4 linked regions of the Bombyx mori genome follow. Each later gene encodes a partner of the first gene's protein in a complex. Links are inferred from orthologs where the notes say so. Each region holds a gene or a part of one and is shown on either strand. Other genes may lie near its edges. The genes, in order: eIF4AIII, Y14, protein CASC3 and pre-mRNA-splicing factor CWC22 homolog.

Region 1 (4,710 bases):
ACTATAATTGAGATTTAAGAATAATGCCTGTCCAGTGTTGGCCTTAAGCTTAGTATAGAAACAAATGAATAATAATGGAACCATGAAAAATATGGTTCCTCTAAAAAACTGACCAATATATTGAGTGATAACCTAAACCAATAACTATTCAAAACTGAATTGAGGTTGTAGTTGCTATAACTTCTAGACATAGTCATCTATTACATACTATATAACACTATAAATTAGATATTAGACATTAAGCACTAGCCCATCCAACACTCAACAAAAGCCCAGAGGCATTATTACATAAATGCTGTCTGTAAAGGTGATCCATATCTCGTTTACATTAAAAAAAAAAGAGCAATTGTATTTTTCATATTAAATCACTAGTGATATTAGTTCACGAAATTCGAAACCATTCACATTTAGATCTTGAAAACTAAAAGTCTTCAAGATCGTATTGTTTTTATTTTAATAGAATTTCCATTACCTTTGACCAGAACGAAATTCCTTCATAATGTTGTCTCTCTCTTTCTGTGGCATGTCACCATGCATTGAACTGACAGTGAAGTTTGCCTCTTGCATCTTCTGTGTGAGCCAGTCAACCTTCCTCTTTGTATTACAAAATATTACTGCTTGGGTAATTGTCAGTGTATCATAGAGGTCACAAAGTGTGTCAAACTTCCATTCTTCTCGTTCAACTGCCACGAAGAACTGTTTGATACCCTCCAGTGTCAACTCATCACTGTAGAAAAAATGATTCTTAATTTCAAATACATTTACCATGATAGAAAATTTGTTTACTTAATTACTATTTAGCTTGCATAGGTTTATGTGTTGAGCAATTAACAAAATGATAGTCCATACAGAAATAAGCTTCATCCTAGAAATAGTATAGTTGATAATGCTAAAATAAAACAGATAGTTTTCTACACTTAATGTAACTTCTTTTCTTAATCTAAATCTCCTCTAGTGTTTCCTGAGTACTGTGACATAATTTTATTCAAATGAGATATCAGGCAAATAACCCTTAGCGTCACTAGTGTCCATAGGCGGCAGTAATCACTCACTATCAGGTGGACAAATTCCTTCAAGGGCAATATAAAACAAATATTTCATTTAACTTAGTGGGTGGATGAGTTCAAGGCCCACGGTGTTAATGGTGTTAAGTGGTTACCAGAGTCCATAGACACCTAGAACAGCTTTGCTGTACTGAATTCCATGGGCGATTGTCACCACTCACCATCAGGTGGGTGGTATGCTAGTCTGCCTACAAGGACACTAAAAAAATAAAATGACATGAGTTCTAGTGTCTCGCATTTTACAGTACAACAGCTGACCCACCGTTCAAACCAAAACACATTACTGCGTCCCAGCAAAAATAGACAGGATCGTGGTACCTACCCGTGCGGACTTACAAGACATTCCTACCACCTACCACCAGTAATTACGCAAATTATAATTTTACATGTTTGATTTTTATTATAAGATGTTATTCCTTCACTATGGAAGTTAATCGTGAACAATTGTGAAGTACGTATTTCATTAGAAAAATTAGTACTTGCCTGCAGAATTCGAACTTTAATGTGTATTTTTGAAATAATCATACAAACCGTTTTACTAATATCCTTATTGGATCAGTCATAAACTTTGATGTCATTTCCAATATCTCATGGGGTAGTGTTGCTGATATTAGCACAACCTGAGTTGCAGGAGGCAGATAGCGGTATACATCATAAATTTGCTCTTTGAAACCTTTGTTCAACATCTCATCAGCCTCATCAAGAACCAGCATCTTTATTGACCGGGTTCTCAACACACGCCTTCTGATCATATCTGAAAATAAGATTGTTTTCTTATAATCTAGGGCACCCTACATCTTGCAGTGGATAGATTATTTAACTTTTTCAATTATTGCACAAGGATGACAATTTATAGACACCATCCCTGTTCTGAGATGCCTGAAACCATACACATGGGTTTGTGGTGAGACTACTGTAGTGAGTAGTACTGTTGGTGAATTTGAGAAGTGGAAGTTAAGTTACTACTTTCAAGAAATAAAAAAGGTGAACCAGCCAGATAACAAAAAAGATCACAGAAGGTTTATCTTTGGTTTTGGAAACTAAAACAATTAGTACTTATTTACTTGGATTAGCAATTTTCATTTATTTACCAAAAACTCTGCCAGGTGTGCCAGACACAACATGCTGTCCGTAATCCAATTTCCTTATATCTTCTCCAAGATTGGTACCTCCAATACAAGCATGACATTGAACGTTCATGAAATCTCCAAGAGCTAATATCACTTTCTGAATCTGAGTAGCCAGTTCACGGGTCGGTGAAAGAATAAGTACTTGAGTTTCACGCAGAGTCGTGTCTAAAGTCTGTAGTATTGAAATTGAGAATGTCGCAGTCTTTCCTGTACCAGATTGTGCTTGAGCTATTACATCTCTGCCTTTGACTATAGGCAAGATGCTTCTCTGCTGAATTGCTGAAGGTTTTTCGAAACCTGTAAATTAACGTTAGTTATTACTAAGTGGTTACCGGACCCCACATACACCACAATACGGAATCTACCAGCCCCCAAGGTTTAACAGTGCGATTGATTTTAAATGTATTGTAAATTAGTATGTCACTCTTCGAAGCCGGAACGCAGAACTGTTGCGAAAAAACAGGACGACAGTCTGACAGACGGACGACCATAATACGGTCTAAAGCTGGTAAGATAATGCCCACATGATCGTTTATGTAGGCAGTTGTAATAATTATAAATAACACCACAATTTGTACTAACCATATGTGTATATTCCTCGCAATAACTCATCTCGAAGTCCCATGGAGTCAAAAGTGGGAATAACTTCGACATCTTCACTCGTGTCGAACTCAACATTCGACAAATCTTCCGACAATATTTTTCTATTGGACGATACTTCAGACGATGTCATTTTTCGAATCTAGTTCGCTTCTAAGTTTTTAAAATAACAAGTTATACGATAGGTGAAAATCTCTTAGAATCTGAATTTCTAAATTACTAAAGGGAAACTTAAGAAACTGTGTCCATAACCATAGATAACACCATAGATAATGAATTTAATTCCATAAGATAGATAATACATTTCATACATAAGATCCATAGACTATTAAGTGATTATTACGCTTTTATTAGCTCCATACCTATGTAGGTATGTAACGGAATCTTTGAATATGATTTTGACCACCTTCAAAATGTCAGATTAACTTGAAATTTGGCATACTTAGGTATTAAGGACCGATGATAATTCAATATTTTAAACAGTAGACTCGTTATTTAATTTCGGCAGTCAAAACAACAAATTAATTTTTGCGCCTTCTTTTCTTCACTTAGAAAATTTGGAAACTGTTTTATTTGCCTGAATGCACATTAAAGAATAATTTATGATAGATAATAAGTAAACTAAAAAATGAAAAATACATAATAGTTTAAAAAAACTAAAATACATGTTTTTATAGAAAATCCAACTAAAAAATGGAAAATAATGTAGTGTGCAACAACGTTACTTCCCACACATCACAATAAATTTATTTAAAAAAAAGCGTGGGATGCTTTTTATGAGATTATCAAAATGATAAGACTTAGCTAGCAATTTCTGTCAATAAAATATTTAAACTATTGACGCCGCGCATCTCACGATTTTCTATAAAAACGTGTATTTTAGTTTTTTTTAATTATTATTTATTCATGTATTCTTAAGCCGCGATAACCGGAGTGATGGTAAGAACTCATCCGAAAATAATGTGATTGTTTATAGTACTGAAAGGCGACGACGCGGGGGCTCATAGCTACTGACGAAACCCCTTACTAAAATAAATTAATAATGTTGATTTGTAGATAGTCTGTGGTTTCAAGAGTCACAGGTAACAATCTAAAATGGAAAAGAAATAAAACGGCTATAGATTATACACAAAGTAAAAAAAACGTGATACAAAACGCGAAAGAAGAAACGTTAAAAAAAGAAAGTTTTAGAGCGTAACCAGCAAAAGATATAATGCGGCTACAAATTTTAAAAATACATGTATTATATGATTCTATAATTTAACTGTTGAAATTGTTAACTGTGCTTTACAAGATTAATTTGAGATCTAAACATTTTTTCGACTGGGTCGAAACAAAACGCAATTAACAACGCATTCGTTCAGAGGTCGAACTGGTCGAAGGAATTTCGTTTTAATTTGTGGCCAAAAGAACGACCGTATTTGATTTTGAACGAATCAAAATGGATGCTGGGTGTGAATGAACTGTATACTGAAACCAACAGCTTTTCAATAAATTGTGTCGCGGGTTCGATTGATGATAAAATTCCTACGTAGGGGTATGAATTTAAAATTTTAAACAGTGAGCAAATCAGATTTCTTTCCTTTGCAGTCACTTTGCTTATTGTTGAAATCAGTAGTCACTGTGTCGGTAATGTGTTTTTATTACGGGATTCTGGGCGAGCCCACAGCCCGCAGGTGGTCATAAGATGAGGATTTCCAAGGAAATGTTTCATGTCGACCGTAATTCGCGAGTGTTTGATGTGTCGGTCTATCCATGTTCGTGTACGTCATGGCGAAAAAATTCGGACTAATGTGTCGACGCGCTGTTTGAGCGGTCAGAAATGAAATGCATATACAGGAAGGAACCAACACAACCCTGACAACATGTACCAAAATGACAGAGGAAGTAGACAGAAGACATGGCGTGAATGGTAA
Region 2 (4,623 bases), on another chromosome or scaffold:
TTGAAGTCATGTTTCAACTCATGTTACCTGTTAGATGGCGTATTTTCATTGTTGGTGTCTATGGACTACAGTAACCATTATAATCAAGCGGGCCGTGAATTCTTTCATCCAAACAAAGCAATTAAAAAAGATACATACGAAGTTTAAGATGTATACAGTGGATATCTTTAAACGAGCAATTCTTGTATATTAATATATATGTATATAATTTGAATCTCGGAAACGGCTCCAACGATTTTCATATAACTTAGTATACAGGGGATTTCGGGGACGATAAATCGATCTAGCTACGATTTATTTTGAGAAAATGTTGTTTTATTCGTGTTTTCAAAAATTAACTCTTCCTGACATCTATTGGCGAATAATAATACTATTTTTCTTAATTGAGGGCAACTAACCGCTTTAAAGACACAACAAGATGGCGTTATCAAAAAAAACCGGTCATCATTCAGTATGTATAAAGTGGATACCAAAGCACAGTAAGTCTTATATTAATCAGTAGCACTAAGTACTTACAGCGGCTTGTTTATAAGTCTCGTACTCAACTAGAGCGTAGCCTTTGAGGAAGCCTGTGCGTCGGTCCAGATTCAGATGAATATTCTTTATCTCACCAAACTCGGAAAATTGATTCTGTCAACAAAACAAACTAATATTGTTTCCACTGATCGAATCACCGATCCTTATAAAAAAAGGGTGCGTGTACTTATGTACGCGCGTAAGAAGTTATACTTTATTTTTATTAATTTTTATTTTTTTTTAGATGTTAAATAAATATATTTAATGTTAATAATTTAATAATATTTAGTATGAATTATATTAAAAAATAATTTTGTCATTTATATTAGTAAAAAATAAATGCTAATCACACTTTTTTTTACGAGTGAACATGCGCGAAAGTTCACCTGCGGCTATATTCAGACTCTCCAAGTTACGGCGGTCGTATTTTAATGAGCGATTTAGTGGGCAACTTCATTTCTGTTAAATTTGTGTCACGGTGCGCGTGCATCGTAAAATTTCACTCTCATCAATTTTTCACAACGCGCCTAAAGAACTTCAATAAAATTTGTAATAGTGGTCTGCATATATTCTATGAAAAACTTGACATATTTTTATTAAAAAAAAAGGATTTGTATTACATACTTATTCTATTGGTCATATAATAATTTAATCTTATTGGCAATGTAGTAATGTAGGCAGCGGCTTGGCTCTGTCCCTGGCGCATTGCTGACGTCGATAAGCGACGCTGACCACTTACCATCAGGTGGGCCATATGCTCGTCTACTGCTCGCATGTTGCCTAGAAAGGCAATAAAAAAAACCTATAGTCCTATTAAATTATTATATTATTATTGATCAATACTATTCCACAGATTTACACTAATGTTTCAAAGTGGCTACATTCACATTTTTATGAATATGTCAATGTCCCTATTGATGCGTGTCTATTTACCAACAAATACATTGACATGACAAAATATCTTTTCTTTGACTTAACCTATTTCACATTTCACATTAATTAAATAGGAATATACCTTTTAATCTTTCACATTGTTTTTTTGTAATTATAACCATTTCAAATTAAGGTGTGTCTCAAACAGTAGCTACAAGTAGATACAAAGTGGAAATTTTATCTTCTAAATATAAATAAAAGAAGTTTTAATTGCCTGTATATCTTCTTCTTGTGCTTCTTCATGTACATTACTGACAAACAGGATCCAGCCTTCAACTGATCTCTGAGGTCCTGGTGTACCGCTATCGCCTTCCGGAGCTAAACTGTCGTATCTGCAACAAAACAATACAAAGTTTTGGCCACTGTTGGACATGTTAAGCCTGGTTCGGTTGTGGGTTTTTCCAGAGTGGAAACAGAGCTTCTGTTGATTAGCAAGAAATATTATTATTCAGTACAATGGAAAATGACAAAATCTGTGTATTACCTTCCGCGGTTACCCCGTTCTGCAGCACTGCCTCCACCGGCTTCGTTGCCAAAACCACGACCTTTTCGCTTACGTGCCTTCTCCTTAAGTCTAGCGATTCCCTCTGTAACATTTTTAAATACTGTAATTTTACACTAAATTTTTTTTTTATTGTTGGGTGCATGATCTCACAGCCCACCTGTTGTTTAGTGGTTACTGGAGCCCATAGACATCCACAATGTAAATGCGCCATCCACCTTGAGATATAAGTTCTAAGGTCTCAAGTATACAACGGCTGCCCGGCTGCTACGGCAGAAATAGGCAGGGTGGTGGTACCCACCCGCGCGGACTCACAAGAGCTCCTACCACCAGTATATTATGTGTTATTTTTGGAAATCAACAACATTACAATTTTTAGTTTACTTTAAGCTTAATTTAGTGCAAGAATAATTATAAAACACGTAAGAATCACCAATGTAATGTCCTAAAGCACGAAATATGAAAAAATGGGGAACAAGCAATCTATATGTTAGATTTATATGTCTTAACAAGTCTGGTGTGCATCATTTTGTATGTGTGCATTTAAATTAAACCCAGTGGTGAAAGTTTAACGTCGACCGGCGATAATAACATTACAAATGTAAAAAAAATTCAGTCGGAAATTATAACCTTAATTGAGACAACATTTCCCGTTTTATGTCCACACATAATTGCTTGTTTAAGCTACGAGCAGACTTTACAGATAATGAATAGGAAACAAAATTTGATTAAAATATTTTTAATAATATCAATTGTTCCACTTACGTTCACCATCTTCGTCGACTTCAAATTCTTCTGAATTTTCGATATCTAGCACGTCAGCCATGTTTTATAGTAGATTTACGTTATGAGAAGTAGTAAATAATTTAAATAAAATGTAATTAATAAAGATGTATTTATCTAGAGACCATATGAGTTTAAAAAATCAAAAAGTTACACAAATTAATCTTGAAAACTCCGCATCAAACACGACCACCATAGATTATTCCATAGATTATACACTTATTATATTTGAGAGATTATTCATAGATAAGACATGTATACGACAATCACATTTTTAAAGGACTTTATGACCTGGTAACTAAGACTTTTAGGTCAAGACTTATTTTAATTTTAATGAAAACTTTTTTTATATGAAATATGGCAGGAAATTAAATTGAATGGAAATTAAAACGAAATGAAATGAAAGGAGATGAGATGATATGGGATGAAATATAATCTCAGGAAAATGGTGGACATTTAGTGAGACTTTTTCAGTGCACTTTTTGGAAGATCCCGAGAAATTACGTTCGGCGGCTTTGTTTCATTTTCACACATTTGTGCACTTACACAGTTACTAAACAGATAATAAACCACCGTTATTACGCCTTTAAACTCGAAGAAGCACTAAATAGACAAAACAAAACAGATCACAAAACTTCATTCCTCGCGTTCCCGTCAAAAAGTCCCACAACAATCGTACATCAACGTCAAAAATAGATAATATACATAATAGAAGTGTATTGTATAGAACTGTATTTTAAATGGCATTAAGTCCGCCTTTATACTGTCAAGTTTATAAAGTTATGGCGAAGCTGAAATTTAATAGCCTCTCAAGGCTATCAGAATAAGTAGGAAAAAATAAAAAAATAGCACAAATAGATATCTACTTCAAAAAAAATGTCAATTTTTTTTTTCATAAATATGATTAAAAAACCACCAAAAAAAGGGAAGGATTGCCAAAAAAATTATGTTATATGTATACATTTATTAATCATCATACAAATTTCCTCGAATAATATGAAACTGTTCTCTCTCTCTCTCTCTTCGATCGGTTCCTCACTGCTGAGGATCGTGACTCCGTCCGATTTCGTCAACCAACTGTCTCCATCGATCCCGCCCTGCAGCCCGGTGGAGTGCGTCGCTGATAGGTATCCCCAGTTCCTCCGCTATTTGTTACTTAATTATTATATATATTTATCACTTTCACTTCTTTTAAGTACAATGCAATTTTCAATGATATTCGAAAATCATAAAATATGATTAAATTATTTCAAATATGAAAAGAACTTCTAACTTTTGATCTTTCTTTTTAATTCTTTAGTTGAAATAAATGCGATTTTTAAAATTTTAATATACTCTTTAAGCTTGTGAATTTTTTATCATCTGAAAATAAAAAAGAATAGAGTAATCAAATAAATAATAATCAATGTCAAACTAACTTTCAGAGTTTCAGTCTATTAGCATACATTGAAATGAAATTAGTAGTAAAATCATGAGTGACTGTAATTTATTAGAAAACGATGTGGATGAAAAATTGATAATAACGAAAAAAACTAAAAGTTCTCTTTTCTCAGAATGGAAATTCAAATCATCCATTCCGACCCCGCGTTCTTCGCCTCCACCCAGCAGAGTTGGTGAAACTATATTTAATAATTATAATGATCTAATTGACTCAAAAATTAATATTGTCAACCATACTAAGCAAACAGAACAAATTGAGAAACCTTTTGATTTTTTCGATGATGAAGAATTTGCTTTCGGCATCAATATTTTGAATAAAAACGTAGCATGCGTCGGAGACAATATTACTAAACTTGTCCAAATGGGTTAGTAACTTCATTTAAAATTGAATGTCTTTTCTAATTAGTGTTCAAGTAAATCAAACTTCTACTTCTTCAGACCTAAGCCTT
Region 3 (4,159 bases), on another chromosome or scaffold:
CCATTTTATGTGGTAAAATTTTTACGTGCGACATTTAAATTAAATGGCAACACTTTGTGGGAAAGAGATAATAGGACTTTTGCGAAGAGTGACGTTGTGTGATTTGTTTTATTTTGTCTATTTGGTGTTTCTTCAGGTTTTAATGTGTAATAACGGTGGTTTATTAGCTGCTTAGTATCTGTGAAAGTGCACAAATGTGGGAAAATAAAACAAAGCCGCTGGACGTAAATTCTCGACATCCTCCCGATCCATTAACGGTGCTTTTAGGCACCACAAGCACCGGTCACCGTCCTCTTCCAACCTGTCGCTTGCGACGAAGGGCTCGACGAGCGAATTAACCCACAGACACAGCTCACTGAGTTTCCGATCCGGTGGTGGACTCTGCGAAGCACTGCTCTTGCTAGGGCCAGTGTTCGCAACACTCCGGTTTGAGCCCTGTGAGCTCACCTACACACGTTAGGGCGAAGCTGACATAGCCTCTCAAGGCTATCAGGTAGGAAAAAAAAATGCAAACTAGCGCTATCCTCGTAGTGCTACTAGCCGCATAATGCGTCGGTACCCTAATGGTTGTGCATTGGTCCGTGTAACAGGAGGAAGGTTCGCGCCCCCCGGCCTCGGTCCAAGTCGCAGCCGGCGGCGGGCGAGTCCCCGGAGCGCGCCGCCCAGCTCCGCCGGAACGCCTCCATCAAAACCGCGAAGCCCAAGCCGCCGTTCACAAAGACGACGCCCCCGAAGAACCTGAAGCCGCAGGACAAGAAATTACCGGCGCTCGAAACTTTGACAATCACCGCTCCGGCGAATAATAACAATAACAACAATAACAGGTGAGGATTCGTTTTGTATTGGGTGCGTTGGATTCGAGCATTATTAGTACTGTTGCCACGGTAATCACTAATCATTTTAAAATTTTGAGATTCTCAGATATTGTCGTAAATATAAGAATATAATACTTGGTGGCAAACACGCGAGATGAGATGTCCTACGTTTTTCTCGCGGTGCACATACTCATAAAAAAAACAATTTAACTGTTTTTTAATTTTAACTAAAATACTACTAATTAAATAAGAACTGTCTGATGAACTCATCTTTGTTTAATACTTCACTATTAAATTTTATTGCCTTTTGTATATTTCACTTTTACACTAAACACAATATTGCAAATTACCTGAGCACAACAATGGCGGAGAATTTTTGGTGTGTGAGAGCAGACGTAGACACTAACGCGCTTGCGCACTTGTCAGTACCCAGGGAGAAAAAGTTAAACTTTCTTCCCTGTACAGAGGGACGACAAGTTACACTTTCTTCTCTGTACAGAGGGACGAAAAGTTACACTTTCTTCCCTGTACAGAGGGATGAAAAGTTACGCTTTCTTCCCTGTACAGAGGGATGAAAAGTTACACTTTCTTCCCTGTACAGAGGGACGAAAAGTTACACTTTCTTCCCTGTACAGAGGGACGAAAAGTTACACTTTCTTCCCTGTACAGAGGGACGAAAAGTTACACTTTCTTCCCTGTACAGAGGGACGAAAAGTTACACTTTCTTCCCTGTACAGCGGGACGAAAAATTACACTTTCTTCCCTGTACAGAGGGACGAAAAGTTACACTTTCTTCCCTGTACAGCGGGACGAAAAGTTACACTTTCTTCCCTGTACAGAGGGACAAAAGTTACACTTTCTTCCCTGTACAGAGGGACGAAAAGTTACACTTTCTTCCCTGTACAGAGGGACGAAAAGTTACACTTTCTTCCCTGTACAGCGGGACGAAAAATTACACTTTCTTCCCTGTACAGAGGGACGAAAAGTTACACTTTCTTCCCTGTACAGCGGGACGAAAAGTTACACTTTCTTCCCTGTACAGAGGGACGAAAAGTTACACTTTCTTCCCTGTACAGCGGGTGGAAAACCGAACTTTCGGTGTCGGTAGGAGAAAAAAACTGTTTGAAGAAAGTGTAACAATTACAACAGTAGAATTTTTTTCTTCTAAGTGCCTGCTGCAAAGGCTATTATTAATCAGTAGTCCCTCGATCTTGCTTGATAAAGCATGATATATTCAGTTGCTTGATTTACAATTTTCAGCCAAGGTCAGTCGCAGCGGAAGGTGAGCGCTATGGTGGCGCAGCAGCGGCCAGTGCCCACGGACATCAACAAGAAGAAGCCGCTTCCCGGCCAGGTATATCGTACAATAATTGTCATCTTTGTCATAAGCATCGCTTCGTTTGCGCTAGGGGCGCTGTTCGAATTAGATACAGATTTGAGTTCGATAGATCGATTTAATCTTATCTTATCTTATCTTATCTTATCTTATCTTATCTTATATATCTATATATATATATAAATGAATTGCAGTTCGTTAGTCTCGCTAAAACTCGAATACGGCTGGACCAATTTGCCTAATTTTGGTCTTAAATTATTTGTGGAAGTCCAAGGAAGGTTTAAAAGGTAGATAAATATGAAAACACTCGGAATTAAATAAAAATAACAATTTTGTTTTTCCTTTGGTGTGTCCCCCGTCGAACGGATTCCTTTTGTTTGTTTTAAGTTTATTTTATACAAAAGTTTAGGTCTTTTATTTCTCGATTGATGCACTACGAAGTCTGCCGGATCAGCTAGTTATCGATAAAAAATGCTTCTCCCCAGAACCAGCAGCCCTCGAGTCCAGCCCCCAACAAGTCGCCGCCCCTGCAAACGAAACCACAGAACCAGACCTCTCACCCTCACCCGCAACAGACCACTGGTAACTATGAAACAAAACGTATAGCTTTCAAATGCCTAACAATTTTCCACAATACATCAATTATGAAAACTAAACATTTAAAATTATTATTAAAAAAAAGAACATAATATTTCTAACCTAAAAGTACATGTTATTATCCGCAACACGCTTCGTCAGATTACAGAAATAGAGTTATCAGCAACATGCTTCGTCAAAAAGTACAATACTTACTTTCAGCTGCAAGCGTCGTCATAAGTAACATATAACATTTAAATATTGAAGACAAGAGTGGATGAAGAGATCAAGTATCATTTTTAAGATTTTTGAGTTTCTAAATTGAATAAAGGTGTTATGTGCATATATTAGACCATATTAGACCTTAAAACTTCAGGCATAAAAGTTTTAGAAATTGCAAGTGACGAAGGAGTTATGTGCGAAGAAAAGTGCAAGCAACAAAAGTTTGTTGCCCGCTTTCTCAAAATTAACAAATTGTATCATATCCCCTTCATCCACTCATGTCTTCAATTATTTTTGATTATTGCTATTTTTTTCGCGGAATAAAATATTTTTAATTTTTTCTGTTTATCTCTAAGCTTGGCAGGAATTGTATGCTTGTGAGCGAGTATTTCAATTGATTAATACGTGAAGCAAAAACTTTGTATCCCTTTTTACGAAAATTGCGCGGACGAAGGAGTATGAAATTTCCCACACTTATAGAGAATATAGAGGAGTGCAGAATGCTGATATTTTTAAAAAAATATGCATTTATAATACATTAAATCAATAAAAAAACATTACACACACTACCATGTATTTAACATACACGCATAATATATAAACGCTTTGTTTATTGTTTATAGTGTAGTTTTGGCGAAACCTGTAATTATAGAAGTATAATAAAATATAGTCTTTGATAATGGAACCATAATAATGTTCAAACTTACTGGTGGTAGGACCTCTTGTGGGTCCGCGCGGGTGGGTACCACCGCCCGGCCCATTTTTGCCGTGAAGCAGTAATGCGTTTCGGTTTGAAGGGTGGAGCAGCCGTTGTAGCTATACTTGAGACCTTAGAACTTATATCTCAAGATCGGTGACGCATTTACGTCATAGTTGTCTATGGGCTCCAGTAACCACTTAATACCAGGTGGGCTGTGAGCTCTTCCACCCATCTAAGCAAAAAAAAAATATCTTCAATTATTTTTCATTTTTGCTATTTTTTTGCGGAATAAAAATAATTTTTTTTGTCTGTTTATCTCTTTAAGTTCGGCCAGAGTTGTATGCTTGTCAGCGAGTATTTTAATTGATAGTACAGCTTCATTAATACTGCCTAGAATGAGCAGAAGACTAGAGAAAGTGTCATTATATTTCTGAACTGTTGGAACAGGCGCCGAGCCCCGCGGCGGCAGCAAGCGCTACAGCAGCCTGCGGCAGCGCCCCCTCGCTGAGC
Region 4 (4,805 bases), on another chromosome or scaffold:
AATTGGAGTGTCTGTTTGTAATATTGAAATAGCCTCTTTTTACTACATTCATATGAATATATACGGTAAAAATAACATTTTTTACAATTTTTGTCTGTATGTTTGTTCCAGCTTATCTCTGGGACGGTTGGACCGATTTTGCAGGGACTTTTACTGATAGGTAGCTGATGATATAAGGAGTAACTTATGTTACTTTTTTTAGACTAGCTTCGCCTCGCGGCTTCATCCGCGGTACGACAATAACCGCGGTTAACATCGCGGGGCTCAGCTATCAATAATAAAATTTAATGTTTCCGAAGCAAAGCGAGGGCAGTTCGCTAGTAATAAAGTTCGCAAGATTAAACCATAAAGATAGTTTTTGGTAAGCCGTAAACTTTGTTCACTGGTTCCGAAACCATCTCCTAACTCAAAAGAAAGGGTAAAGCTAGTATTAAATCACACCCATGAGCATAGCAATGTAGCAATTGTAGTTAAAATCAACATTCATTATTGTGAACCTCTCATAACAACTGTCATTGCTCTCAGCAATATATAATCGCTTGTCTGTGCCCTGAGCTATCCTTTCAAAGAGTTTCCACTGTCATTTGTCATATTTCCATTTGAAATTGAGGGTTTATTTATTATTATAAAACTAAAAAAACATCAAAACAAAGTAATACGAACGGATCTTGTAGACGGTCATTCAGTTTCTTTAGTCCCATGTATTCAGCCAGTTCTTGAAACAGAATCTTTATGTATATCCGACTAGAACTAGTTGTGTCTTCTTCGTTCAATTTAACACATTCCAAAGATTCCCAACTAATGGAATCTGTAAACAGCAGATGGGCGAAAAACTTGCTGACATTTCTGAGTCTATTCGTGTCCAACCTGTGTGCTGTTGAATATGAATCTTTGAAAATTTCCTCGAAAGGTCCGATGTATATTCTGTTGATGTTGCAAAACCTTTGGGCCAATAAGCCATAGAATTTCTCATATGTTCTCTGCTCAGCACAGCAGTCTAAGAACATGTGGCATAGTTCCACTTCTTGTCCTGGTTTCAGTTGCATCTTCATTAGTTTATGAGCACATTCTTCGAAATCTAAACTGGAGTTGATTGTCAGGTATATAGTGCGTCTCAGAGCCACTAAGTTTGTTTCTGTGTTATCAATAATAGTCATTTCTTTTTTTGGTTGTTCTTCATCTTCTTCATCAGATTCCTCACTACCGCTTTCTCCTGAACCATCTTCATCACCGGACTCAGCATCAGAACCAAGTATTTCCTTGCAAAGATTCTTGTACTTCTGTTCATTCTCTTCATACTTTTCATCAAATTTGAAAACATCTGAAGCATTTGGGAAAATTGTTATTTTTATTCTTTTATACTAATTTGCTTATTTTACATTTGTTTTAAATGGAGCATTAAGATAAATTGTTTATAACATTCAATAATGTTGGGCATAAATGAGTTAATACATACGATGGAAAATAAAAATAGGCTAAAATAATGGATATTGAATTCACTAACACAGAGTACTACTATCTTAAAACTTAAAGCAAAAAGTATATGAAAAAAAATTGAGATTGTTTAAGTTACATTTTTAAATAAGCTAAAAGCATTTTTATGTAAACTATATATAAAAATTTTTGATTAATCCTATTAAAAATTAAAACTTTACTCGTTTAGAGTGTTATATACACTCAAAACTTTTAGCATTTTAAGTGTTACAATAACTCTTGTGCATACCCTCAATAGCTATTAAATAACTTAGGGGAACAAATAATTCAATTGACAGACTGTACAGATAATCTACTTAAGTGTTTTATGGCTTATTTTTTTATGGATAGTTTAATAGAATATAACATACTCAGGATATCTTGAGGATCTGTAGCGTCATCCAGCATCAATAGATGTGTGAACTGTTCTTCTTCAGGCACGAGCTCCAACTCTTCAATCAGTGCCGGGTGGTCTTTGAACCCATCCTTCCAAACTTGGAACATTACTTCTATCATGTACTGAACTCTTTTGTCTAACTGACCTTCGTGCAAAATGTTCCTTAGCATCTCGAAAATTGCATTTACACCTTTAGATGATACTTCAGTCAATTTTTGGCCACATTCCTTTAAGAATGCTATGGCAACTTCAACTGAATCATCTGTTGGTGATTCAACTAGTAAAGTGAGAAGTTCTAAAGCCAGAATTTCATGTGCCACTCTCTGATTCACTAAATGTGCAATGAAAGATGCAGAGGAAATGCAAATTGACTTATCATTGCGTTTAAAACCTCTTTTGAATTGAATCACTAATCTTTTCAGTAACAACTCCCCGATATTAGGAAAACGTGAATTGACTGCTGATACTAGAGCCGCGTATACATTAGTGAATGTTGGCGAGGCTGCCTGGGCTTGAATAACAGAACGGCATAACAAACCTCGACCTCTGACAATGTTTTCTTTCAATAATTCCTTTATAATGATACCTATGTTACCGACATTAATTTTGTTGATGTGACCGTGAATTGACTTTTTGAGAGCTTCCCAGGCAAGTCTTTGGTAAGCTATCGAGGACTTATCCGTGATCTGCGCTTGCATCATCCTCAGTCTTGCTGGTGGAATGTATGCACCTCCTGTTCTAGTATTCAACATATCAGTATCTTTTGCGCGTCTTTCTGGCTTTGTAGAGGCATCTTTTTTTGTTTCTGGCTCTTTTTGTGTGTCTTTAACTCGTTTATCTTCCCTAGCCTTGTAATGAGGTGAGCGTGATTTGGAACGCCGGCGTTTACTTCTATACTCCCTATTCTGCTGTTCCTCAAGTGACTTAGATCTAGATCTAGCCCGTCTCGACCTTTTCGACCTACGCCTTTCATCATCTTCCTCGTATTTATCTTTCTTCTGCTTGGTGTTAGTCTTCTCCATTCTTATGATTTTTGTTTTGACACTACTAGACTACAATTGAACTTTTTATAAAAGAATTTAATACTGTATCTAGAACTCAATATTATTAAAACTATTCATTTTCAATATTATGTGTAAAATCATGAAATTTATTTCGATGAAAAAGTAGAACGTGCACTAAGTAAAATCCAGCTTGACCTTAATAAAACAGCCATTTTGTTTTGACATTTTTATTTTACTGTCATGTCAGTAGTAGTAGAGTAGTAGTAACTCCGTTTTCCAACTGAAAAGGTGAAGGTATCATACTATACGGCCTAATAAAGTAAAGTATTGTTTAAAAAAATTTAAATGAAGTTGTTTTTGCGACATTAATCAATTGAGATTTGAGATGACATTAAATGAAACGAAATGATATGAGATGAAATATAATATCAGTAAAATGGTGTTTATGTATTTGGACAAATTCAGTTAACTTTTTTAGATTATCCACTCTCGGCGCTGTTAGGTGCTAATTTAATGGATAATCCTAATGTTTGCAGCAAAGATTTTTTTTTCCTACCTAAGCTGATGTTCTAGAGAGATCATATCAGCGTCACCAGGCTAGTAGGTGAGCTCACGTTGCTCAAACCTGACGATGTTGCTAACACGAACCCTAGCAAGAGCAGTGCTGCGCAGAATCTACCACCGGATCGGAAACACGACCCACCGAAAAGATCTGGCGACAAACTCAGTGGGCTGTGTCTGTGGGTTAATTTATTCACCCAGTCCTTCGTCGCAAGCGAGGGGCTTGACGAGAACGATGACCGGTGCTTGGGGTACCTAAAAGCACCGTTAGTGGATCAGGAGGATCCGAGATGACGTATTTTGGGTGACGTCGAATGTTTACCATTTGGTCCGCAAGATCGGCAATGTAGTTATCGGCGGCCACGTTGAGAGGGTTCTCGTGTCGTCGGAGCCCATAGACACGTCATGATAATCGCCTTATCGTTGCCGCCGCTGATTACTCCCCGAATCCTGATCACGCAGGAGCAAGTCACCGTCGTCGCCCTAGACATGTCCTTACGGATCCATCAGATCCAATAACTCTTACATTAGATACCTTCAGCTCTAACACTAGGAGCAGGCTGAGGAACCCCGGTAACCGTACTCGTCGAACTCGACAAAGAGGTCGACGTGCAACCTAACCCATGCATCAGCTCGCTGAGTTTCTCACCGGATCTTCTCAGTGGGTCGCGATTCCGATCCGGTAGTAGATTCATTCGCGAAGCAATTGCTCTCGAGTTGTTAGGTCTCCTTCGGAGGCGCTCGGGTAGCTGTTAGCAAATCCCACCCCTCCTGGCTGAGCCTTTGCTCGCCCACCTGTCCTGGTGAAGCTGGAAAGGCCTCCGGGCCACCAGTAATCTTTCAATCATAAAAAAAAAACATTTACAACGTAAATGCGTCACCCACAAAGAAAAGCGGAAAGATTTCAAGAACAACGCCATAAGCAGCCACACTACAGCTATGCTCCGATAAGCACTGCCAGCATTGTAAGATGTGACGTCAATTTAATATACTGCGAAACTGTTCTTTTATAGTTAGCTATACTGGTCACTGTTTAAAACGGAACGTAATACAGTTTATTGTTATCGAAGATTTCTGTCGGTGTTTTCACTCTAACAAAAAATTATTGTTTAAATTTATTTATATTTGAAAAGAGAACATTCAAATTATTGTCGCTTAAATTAATCGCTTAATAAGACTCAGTATACTTTTTCATCATCATCATCATTCCTTCCTACTACCCTCTGCTGGGGTGTAGGGCTTGAATCAAATTTTTCCATTTACATCGGTCTTGGGCAGTCTGTTCTAGCTCCTCCCATGCCCAAGACCCCTAGCTCCTGCTCTACCGAGCGACGCCAAGTTGTTCTGGGGCGGCCTCTCTTCCTTATAGT

What was found.
Region 2: eIF4AIII (region 1) and Y14 share a complex: the UniProt entries of both Homo sapiens proteins name them as parts of the ALYREF/THOC4-EJC-RNA complex. The link is inferred for Bombyx mori from reciprocal best matches to the Homo sapiens genes EIF4A3 and RBM8A.
Region 3: the proteins of eIF4AIII (region 1) and protein CASC3 are in contact, whole or in part, in a crystal structure (PDB 2J0U), measured with the Homo sapiens proteins. The link is inferred for Bombyx mori from reciprocal best matches to the Homo sapiens genes EIF4A3 and CASC3. Residues at the interface, in NP_055555.1 of Homo sapiens: Thr178, Arg179, Lys198, Ile201, Tyr202, Tyr205, Arg206, Tyr207, Leu208, Pro209, Pro210, Thr212, Lys231, Phe232; in NP_031385.2 of Homo sapiens: Arg217, Trp218, Glu219, His220, Asp221, Lys222, Phe223, Glu225.
Region 4: the proteins of eIF4AIII (region 1) and pre-mRNA-splicing factor CWC22 homolog are in contact, whole or in part, in a crystal structure (PDB 4C9B), measured with the Homo sapiens proteins. The link is inferred for Bombyx mori from reciprocal best matches to the Homo sapiens genes EIF4A3 and CWC22. Residues at the interface, in NP_055555.1 of Homo sapiens: Met43, Gly44, Ile72, Ile73, Lys74, Gly75, Gln98, Cys99, Met183, Gln213, Val256, Ala257, Glu259, Trp263, Asp266, Thr267, Asp270, Leu271, Tyr272, Asp273, Thr274, Leu275, Thr276, Ile277, Thr278, Gln279, Ala300, Asn301, Phe302, Thr303; in NP_001362958.1 of Homo sapiens: Thr129, Gly130, Gly131, Ala132, Tyr133, Pro135, Pro136, Ala137, Lys138, Arg140, Lys164, Asn167, Gly168, Ile170, Asn171, Lys172, Val173, Asn174, Ser176, Asn177, Ile180, Ile181, Glu184, Ala207, Ser208, Ile210, Phe211, Tyr215, Lys330, Arg331.

Annotation. Positions count from the first base shown.
Region 1 is NC_085131.1:3,885,122-3,889,831, reverse strand, and holds the start of eIF4AIII (eukaryotic initiation factor 4A-III), read right to left. Parts: upstream 3,049-4,710; 5' UTR 2,928-3,048; coding exon 2,777-2,927; intron 2,492-2,776; coding exon 2,156-2,491; intron 1,819-2,155; coding exon 1,596-1,818; intron 728-1,595; coding exon 473-727; intron 1-472. Other genes in the region: protein hairless, read left to right, coding at 4,622-4,710. UniProt on the Homo sapiens protein: ATP-dependent RNA helicase. Involved in pre-mRNA splicing as component of the spliceosome. Core component of the splicing-dependent multiprotein exon junction complex (EJC) deposited at splice junctions on mRNAs.
Region 2 is NC_085108.1:4,111,786-4,116,408, forward strand, and holds the start of Y14 (RNA binding motif protein Y14), read right to left. Parts: upstream 2,916-4,623; 5' UTR 2,778-2,915; coding exon 2,717-2,777; intron 2,037-2,716; coding exon 1,934-2,036; intron 1,782-1,933; coding exon 1,664-1,781; intron 631-1,663; coding exon 517-630; intron 1-516. Other genes in the region: uncharacterized protein LOC101745843, read left to right, coding at 4,206-4,539.
Region 3 is NC_085126.1:2,182,230-2,186,388, reverse strand, and holds part of protein CASC3, read left to right. Parts: intron 1-590; coding exon 591-824; intron 825-2,075; coding exon 2,076-2,169; intron 2,170-2,636; coding exon 2,637-2,733; intron 2,734-4,096; coding exon 4,097-4,159. UniProt on the Homo sapiens protein: Required for pre-mRNA splicing as component of the spliceosome. Core component of the splicing-dependent multiprotein exon junction complex (EJC) deposited at splice junctions on mRNAs.
Region 4 is NC_085110.1:1,337,654-1,342,458, forward strand, and holds the start of pre-mRNA-splicing factor CWC22 homolog, read right to left. Parts: upstream 3,122-4,805; 5' UTR 2,893-3,121; coding exon 1,845-2,892; intron 1,322-1,844; coding exon 664-1,321; intron 1-663. UniProt on the Homo sapiens protein: Required for pre-mRNA splicing as component of the spliceosome. As a component of the minor spliceosome, involved in the splicing of U12-type introns in pre-mRNAs. Promotes exon-junction complex (EJC) assembly.